Linked DNA regions of Sus scrofa. The protein of the gene in region 1 interacts with the protein of each later gene in a biochemical or structural test. Links are inferred from orthologs where the notes say so. Each region holds a gene or a part of one and is shown in the gene's direction. Other genes may lie near its edges. The genes, in order: WBP11 and PQBP1.

Region 1 (4,515 bases):
CTCCCCCGTTGAGACTTACAAAATTATTTTAAAAGTTATTGATGCAAGAGTGTGTTTGTTATACTTGATTCTTGCATTGAAGTACAAGAAATGTCTTGTGTAATTTTAAAAGTTCAACATACCTCAAAAATTAAAGCCAGATGAAATAGTTTTTCAAGTGTACTCTTCGTGTTCTTTCTCTTCTGTCACTGCTTTTTTAAATTAGTTGCAAAATATCACAATTTAGTTCACCTTCAAAATTAAGTTTTATCTCATGTTTTTTACCTGATTTATAAACATGTATCTTGTAACTAACTGTTCTTCTGGGACTCAAAATTCAGACTAAAACCAAATCAAGTGTTTTCTAAAGCAAGAGTTCCTTTAGATAAGGGACCGACTTTACAGGTTAAATGCCTATTTAAATACTCTCTAAAAGTTAATTATATACCTCCGTCAAGATTTTGGCATATTTATAACCGATAATAAGACTTGGCCTGTGTTAACATTTCCCTATAAGGGAAAGATTAAGGGGAGAAATAACCAAGGTGTCCTTATATTTTCTTAAATATTTAAACTTACCTTTAAAAGGAAAAGATATGGGAGGACTCTCAGATAAAGAGCCCATAAAAGCGAAGGAAAAGGACTGAGATTAGACCTAAGGAACTAAGTCCGTTAGCACAGTGACATCATAAAGGATTTTTGGTGAATGAAAAGAGCAGAAAAGAGCTGACATAAATCAATCTCACAACTCGTAAACTTAAAACTGACTGTACATGTACCCCACGTTCCCTCTTCAAAGAAAAATAGTCCTGCAGCAATCTGGGACTCTGATATGGGCACCGATTTGCTCAGGTCTACAAATGGTCTGTGTAAAAACTACTGAATTTCCAGGCGCACACCACGTTAGGCAAGTGCATCAAGCACAGCAAGAAGTGTTCTTGGGGGATTCTTTTTTATTTCATTTTATTTATTTATTTTTGTCTTTTTTGCCATTTCTTGGGCCGCTCCCGCGGCATATGGAGGTTCCCAGGCTCCGAATGGGAGATCGGAGCTATAGCGGCCCAGCCTACGCCAGAACCACAGCAAGGCGGGATCGGCGCCGCGTCTGTGACCTACACCACGCTCACGGCAACACCGGATTCTTAACCCACTGAGCAAAGCCAGGGATCGAACCCGCAACCTCATGGTTCCTACTCGGATTCGTTAACCACTGAGCCACGACAGGAACGCCCGGGATTCTTTTTTAAACAGAAACTCTCAAAAGACGGCAAGCGCTGGTCATGATCAAAGAAACTACAGAAACACAATCCCCGGTAACACAAACGGCGCTAAACTTCCCCATCCGGATTCCGCCCGCCTCAGGCGGTGAAATAAATGCGGATCCCGGAAATTAGGTCAGAATGCCTGAGGGTAGGACTGTCGTCGCATCAGCCAATCATATATCCCACCCGCTTAATTTTCTTATTCTTAACTGGGCTATAGGAGTGTCAATCAACATGCACTGCACTGAGTAATGAGGGCGGGCTCTCAGCCCCGACCAACCAATTCGGTACTGTACTCCAGCGGAAGAGACTCTGGTCCTGGAGTTGTCGGTTACTCTCTATGGTTTCAGGGCGCCGAAACGATGAGATTGTCGGCCCGTATGGAGAGGAAGTGACGTAAGGATGGCGGAGGGGCGCGAGGTTTCAAGATGGCGGTGGCTGGGTGGCTGACCGAGAGGCAGAGGTGAAGGCCTCTGCGAAGTCAAACAGGCCAAGAATCGTCCCCTCCCCGCTTCTCACAGCCCCAGGAGCCCAGCAGAGGTGTGAGTGTGCGGGATCGTTCCCCTGTGGTTCTTCATCCTTCGGGTCCCTTCCTGGGGCCCGCGCGGTTGCCCCGGGAACGCCAGGCCCCTGTGCCCCCGCTTTTCCTTTTCGCGGTTAGCGTCTACCAGACCGGGAACTAGGGGATCCCCGAGCCTGGAACGGAGCAGCGTCCGGCGGTCAAGCGCCTGACTTCTCCCGGGTTGGTCAGCGGAGCCTCCTGACGTTGACCGGGTTGCCTTAGGTTTGATGTGATGTCTATACCTGGAATCAGGGTCAACCGTCGCTATGGTTTCGGCAGTTGCTAATACTGTTGGCCCCTTGTTGGACCTGGGCTCCGTTCCTTTGAAGCCTCTTTGGAGGTTGAGAGTTCCGCTGAACAGCCCGTGACCCGATGTCTCTATCGCCTCTGCTTTTAGACAGGAAAGTAGTTTGTGCATAGTCAGGCTCCAGCATCTTCTGTAAAAATTCTCTGTACTTCGTACCTGTTTTAGGCTTCAGGCTGGGGAGAGGAGTGTCAACACCTAAGCCTGAGGGTAATTGAGAGAGGAAAGCAGAAAAGATAAAGCCATCAAAGATGCGAGAGCTTGTATTTGCACCAATTTTGCTTGTTTCCGCTTCCTTTCGCCCCTCACTCCCAGTTTTTGTGAGAAGGAAGCCCTTGACAGGGTGAATTAGTTGTTACTGGAACAGTTTTGAAGCTTTTTAGCAGAAATCCAGGCAGTTGAACACTTGCCGAAAGAGGTATTAACTAATAAACTTGCCTGAAAAAAACCTTCATGAAGGGAAGGGGGACTTACATGGTCTGCTAAAAAAGTGTACCTCATGATTTCTTTTCCACCTTTTATTATTTTCAAGAGCAAGCATCAAAAAGTTAAACCTCATTCATTTGGAATAACAGGAAGAAATAGTGTAATAGTGTCTTAAATTAATTAAAATTTTGACTTACAAAGTATTTTCCCTCAAACACAATTAACGCTTCCAGTGACCTTAAAAAAATACAAATCAGAAGTCAAGTTGATATTAGTAAGAAAAATATGTATCTTGATGTTTATGTGTTTAGAAGCTCTCATATACTTTCATTTTGAATATTTGTGTTTTTAGTTATGTTTTAAGCTTCTGCTTGAGAGTCAAGAATTATATCTGAATTCTAAATCTGCATTAAATAGGCTTAAATTAATGAGTTTTTACTGTCTTAGAGGTGTTGGGAAAACATGCCAGGAAACCAATGAAAGAGGCAAGGGTGAGCTATTTGTCGTTGAGCCCAGTTTTACACACACACCATCCCTTCTTATTCCTTTTCACCCTGCCTATAAATACAGGAAGGATATAGGAAAAGAACTAATAGCTTCTCATGCACATGGTTCATGTCATATTGTTGAAGCGTTTTCTGATTGATTTTTTTTTTTCTATTGATGAGTCAGTATTGTGATCCATAGAAGAAAGTTAACTGACGACTAACTGATATTCATAGTGATCTTCAGGCTCATTACCTTTGTAAATAATAATAGGAATCTGTTGGGGAAGTTGAGACTATCTTTCCTGGGCACTAAAGTCAAGACTAGGGAAAGAATAAGGTCTCAATCAAAGAAATGTTTCTTTTCAGAGTTTAGTAGGAAGAAAATTTTATCAGTATAAAAAGAAATTTTGTAAATATAGGAAAAATCAGTGTGGTTTTTTGTTTGTTTCTTTTTTTTTGTCTTTACAGGTTTTTAGGTTTTGGGCTTTTTTTTTTTTTAAACAAGTAAACCGTACAAATTGTCAACATGGGACGGAGATCAACATCATCCACCAAGAGTGGAAAATTTATGAACCCCACAGACCAAGCCAGTAAGTATCCATTAATGTGAAATGATAAGGAGGAGAAGTGGTAAAAATCACAAGGTTTAGGAAGTCTATTTTAAGCCTTAGAGATCAGCAGTGTTAGGAAGTATCAGTTATAAAATTACCTATTGTTCTCTTGGGCACATGATTAAAACTTTAAGCATACCAAAAAAAGTAGCACCTGTATTTCTAATTTGATTGACTTTCAAAGTAGAATTGGCTTAAAGCTTTCTTTTTGTATTTGGGATTTTAAACAAATTGTTTTTAAGTTTTTGTTTAGTATTTTTTGGCATCTTTTTTCTTCAGAATCATAGCTATTTTTTGAGGGACTTAACAATGTCTTGATTCATCTTGGGTTGATGTAATTGGAAGGGTGCTGTTGGCCTCTAATGGGTAAAATCAAGGAGTGCTGCTAAATCCTACAGTGCCCAGGGTCAACCTCCCACGTTAAAGAATTATCTGTATTAAATTGGAGAAAATGCTAATGTTCAAGACTTGAAAGTTTTATTTTCTTTCTGTCTCCCTCTCTTAAGGAAAAGAAGCTCGGAAGAGAGAATTAAAGAAGGTATGACTTCAGAAGCATCCTATTAGATATAAGTGTAGTTTGGCACATCTTATTATTTGCAATGAGTGGATTTAGAAAACATTTCCAGTTGTTTTTGAGAAAAGATACATTATGCTTCTCATAACAAACCATAAGATTTACTAAGCCAAAGTACTATACTTGCAAACTGAGGTATACAGTTACATTGTTTTTTGTAAGCCAAAATACTATACTTGCAAACTGAAGTATACAGTTACAGACAGATTATTGTAACATAGTTTTTTGGTTTTTGGTTTTTTAGGGCCGCACCTGTGGCATGCAGAGGTTCCCAGGCTAGGGGTTGAATTGGAGCTGTAGCTGCTAGCC
Region 2 (4,286 bases), on another chromosome or scaffold:
ACCTAGCTGCAGACCGTGGGGACGATCCGACACCCCCTCCTTGCCCACAGTGGGCTCACCCAAGCCCCGCCTCCATTCACCAAAGGGACCTGGGAAAAACCACGCGCGGTAACCCTGGGGATTTCCGCCTAGCAACACACCACCCCCCGGCTGGAATGGATTCGACCAACGTGTCTCTTTCCGTTAACAAGAGGGACCGGGGACAAGAGTCAAGGGAAACGTGGAGTGGTTCGTCCTGCACCGCACCAGCTCCTTCAAGCACACAGTTGTGGCCCCTCTTAACGGAGCCCAAGTAAGGAAACAAGTGGACGGGAGCGGAAGGAGACAACAAACGTTTAAAAGTCTCCCGAGTCTGGGACGTGGCGCTGTGTAGCCAGCGCCTCCCCCGCCCGCCTCCCACCGCTGGCCGTGGCGCCGCAGCAAGAGTCCCGAGGCCTGTGCCCCTCGCCGTACCAAGGCTCCCGAGCGTACTCCTCCATGGCGCCGGCGTCCGGCCGCGCAGTCTGGCTAAATCCCGGCCGGGCCACACCCCCACTGTAAACGCACACAGGCGCCCGAGCTTTCCACCTATTCCAAGGTAATGATTGGGTCCTTTCGCCAGACGTCAGGCCAAGGCGCACTCTCATTGGCCAGTTAGGTTTCCGTCATCTGTTCTCTGCAGCCCGAGCGTCGCCCAGTTACCTCTGGCTCAGGGAGAGAGGGCCTCATTCTTTCCCTCAGGAGAAAAAGAGTCGTGGTCCTGGCGATCATAAAGGCGTCGAGAGAGAGGCCGACAGTCTGACAGCCTTCCGCAACCCGCGTGACTGTATTGGTAATGTCGGGGTGGGCGCATTTTTTGGAGCTAGAGGAAACCCTGCTCCCCCCACCCCTGCTCCTTGGTTCCTTCCACCCGGCAGTCTTTGGGGGACGTTGGGTGAGCCCATTTCTGGGGCGCGGGGGAGCGGCGCTTGGCCCCTTCGGCGATGGGTGGAGCCTAGGCCTGGGAGAGGAGGCCTGGGAGAGGAGTCCTGTCCCGGAGCACCCCGCCTGGAGAGGAGAGTTGGCGAGAATTTCGGTGATACTGCCGTTTATCCCTTCCACCTTTTAGCGGGTAGGTTCTGTTGCCCAGCTCCTGGTGCAGGTGGGTAGGTGGGAGTCTAGATGAGTGCATGTTGGGGAGAGGCGCTTGCTTACGAGCTCCAGATTCAAATCCTTATCTGAACTGCTTTCTCGTCTGTCCTTCCCTAGGTCTGTCTGCTACCCGCTATGCCGCTGCCCGTTGCGTTGCAGACCCGCTTGGCCAAGAGAGGCATCCTCAAACATCTCGAGCCCGGTGAGAGAGCTAAGAGCAGATGGGCCTACCATGTGCCAGGCTTGACAGGCACTTTGTTGTTGATATTGCCACTCGATCCCTAGTATGGGCCTACTATATACCAAGCAGTGGGCTGGCAGACATTTTGTTGTAAACAATACGTATTCCTGACGCCGATTCCTACCGCGTGCGCGCGGACGCCTACGGTGGGGGTGGGGCAGGGAATAGACATTTCAGCTTTAGTCGTACCTAATACTGACAGCTGATGCTTATCTTGGATCTTCATACGCCAGATTTAATCCAATCGATCCCTGGAAGAGTATCTAAGGATATTAATAGTAAACTGACATCTATTACAGCCTCTTTTGGACCAAATACAGTGGGAGGAGGCTGATATTTTGTTCTTTACCATACTAGTAGGTAACATTTTTTTCAGATCTACTGTAGAGCCAGGTACTGTTCAGGCGATATATACCGACTTGTTCACCAGTTCAATAACTGACATGTATTTCGGGTCTGCTTAAGTGGCTGGCATATGCATTATGGTTTACAGTATGTAAAATAATGGTAGGGGAGTTCCTGTCGTGGCGCAGTGGTTAACGAGTCCGACTAGGAACCATGAGGTTGCGGGTTCGATCCCTGGCCTTGCTCAGTGGATTAAGGATCCAGCGTTGCCGTGAGCTGTGGTGTAGGTCGCAGACGCGGCTCGGATCTGGCGTTGCTGTGGCTCTGGCGTAGGCTGGCAGCTCAGCTCCGATTGGACCCTTAGCCTGGGAACTTCCATATGCCGCGGGAGCGGCCCAAGAAAAGGCAAAAAAACAAAAAACAAAACAAGGATAATGATAGGATCTGTCATTTTGGCCTGCTGTGCTGCCGTTGCCAGTATTTATACCTTACTGTCATTACAGTAAAAGTTGGCATCTATTTTGGGCTAAGGTGTGGCCGTGTACTGGAAAACTCATTTTCACTTTATTGACAGGTGACATCTATTACAGGTTTGTTGTGTGCCAAGCATAGATCTTTGGTTAATAATACGGATAATGGTCATTGATATTTATTTTAAGCTTACTGAATACCGGGCCTTGTGCCCGTGGTACGTTTCTTACTAACAACACTAATGATTATAGCTGATGATCTATTTTGGACCTATTGTGTGACAGGCACTATGTTATTGCTGAAATAGACATTTCATTGTTAGCTGTATACACAGTTGAAACCTGTGATCGGCCAACTGAGGTCCAGGTACTCATGTACCTTTTTTAAAATGTTTGGTCTTTTTATGGCCACACCCACGGCATATGAAAGTTCCCGGGCTAGGGGTCGAATCAGATCTGTAGCCGCTGGCCTATGCCACAGCCACAGCAATGCCAGATCCGAGCTGCATCTGTGACTTACACCACAGCTCACAGCAGTGCCAGATTCTTAACCCACTGAGCAGGGCCAGGGATCAAACCTTCGTCCTCGTGGATGCTAGTCGGGTTCGTTATTGCTGAGCCACAATGGGAACCCCCACTCATACACCTTTTTTATTCTGTTGATAGTAACTGAAAACAGTTGCAGGTCTCAGGAGCTGAATATATTCAGAGCAGTGTTTGGATAAATGCCTTGCTCTCCAAACTTGCTACTCAATATACTAGAATCAGAAACTCCCTATTTGCCAAGCTGGAGAACTGAATGAATTTGGACGTTTTTAGATAAAACCTTTGCTGTTCAAACTAATTTTGTCCAAATAGGTTTGGATAGCGGGGAGTTTCCGTCATGGCTCAGTAGTTAACAAACCTAGTTAGTATCTATGAGGACGCGGGTTCAACCCCTGGCCTCACTCAGTGGGTTAAGGATCTGGCATTGCCATGAGCTTCAGTGTAGGTCTCAGGTGGGGCTTGGATCCTGTGTCGCTGTGGCTGTGGCCTGGAGTGGCAACTACAGCTCCAATTTGACCCCTAGCCTGGGAACCTCCACATGCCACAGGTGTGGCCTTAAAAAGACAAAACGATACATAAAAATAGATTTGGGGAGTTCCCGTCATGGCGCAGTGGTTAACGAATCCGACTAGGAACCATGAGGTTGCGGGTTCCGTCCCTGCCCTTGCTCAGTGGGTTAACGATCCGGCGTTGCCGTGAGCTGTGGTGTAGGTTGCAGACGCGGCTCGGATCCCGCGTTGCTGTGGCTCTGGCGTAGGCCGGTGGCTAGCTATGGCTCTGATTGGACCCCTAGCCTGGGAACCTCCATATGCCGCGGGAGCGGCCCAAGAAATAGCAAAAAGACCAAAAAAAAAAAAAAAAAAAAAAAAGATTTGGATAGCAGGGTGTCACATACTGTCTGAACACAGGAACTAAACAAACATGGATACACGTTTTTTATTTAATTTTTATTTTTTTTAGGGCCACACCTGAAGCATATGGGGGTTCCCAGGCTAGGGGTCTAATCAGAGCTACAGCTGCCAGCCTACACCACAGCCACAGCAACGCCAGATCCAAGTGGCATCTGGGACCTACACCACACACAGCTCAGGGCAATGCCAGCTCCTTAACCACTGAGCGAGGCCAGGGATCGAACCTGCAACCTCATGGTTCCTAGTTGGATTCATTTCCTTGCGCCACAACAGGAACTCCGGATACACTTTTTTGTTTTTTTTGCTTTTTAGGGCCGTACCCGCGGCGTGTGGAGGTTCCCAGGCTAGGGGTCGAATCAGAGCTACAGCTGCCGGCCTACGCCACAGCCACAGCAACGCCAGATCCGAGGCATGTCTGTGACCTACACCACAGCTCACGGCAACACTGGATCCTTCACCCACTGCGCGAGGCCTGGGATCGAACCTGCAACCTCAGGGTCCTAGCCAGATTTCGTTTCTGCTGTGCCATGATAGGAACCCCTGGATATATTTTTAAATGCATCCCTATCTAAACTCTGAAACCAGATAAGTCTGAGTAACAGTATGTCATAATCTTACCTGAACCCAGAAACCGAACAAAGTTAGGCAGATTTATTTTTGTAA

The links.
Region 2: the proteins of WBP11 (region 1) and PQBP1 form a complex in vitro, tested with the Homo sapiens proteins (2 studies listed by BioGRID and IntAct, with this or other methods). The link is inferred for Sus scrofa from reciprocal best matches to the Homo sapiens genes WBP11 and PQBP1.

Annotation. Positions count from the first base shown.
Region 1 is NC_010447.5:57,748,369-57,752,883, forward strand, and holds the start of WBP11 (WW domain-binding protein 11), read left to right. Parts: upstream 1-1,579; 5' UTR 1,580-1,783; intron 1,784-3,489; 5' UTR 3,490-3,547; coding exon 3,548-3,611; intron 3,612-4,138; coding exon 4,139-4,170; intron 4,171-4,515. UniProt on the Homo sapiens protein: Activates pre-mRNA splicing. May inhibit PP1 phosphatase activity.
Region 2 is NC_010461.5:42,975,420-42,979,705, forward strand, and holds the start of PQBP1 (polyglutamine-binding protein 1), read left to right. Parts: upstream 1-1,226; 5' UTR 1,227-1,245; coding exon 1,246-1,312; intron 1,313-4,286. Other genes in the region: TIMM17B (mitochondrial import inner membrane translocase subunit Tim17-B), read right to left, coding at 454-626. UniProt on the Homo sapiens protein: Intrinsically disordered protein that acts as a scaffold, and which is involved in different processes, such as pre-mRNA splicing, transcription regulation, innate immunity and neuron development.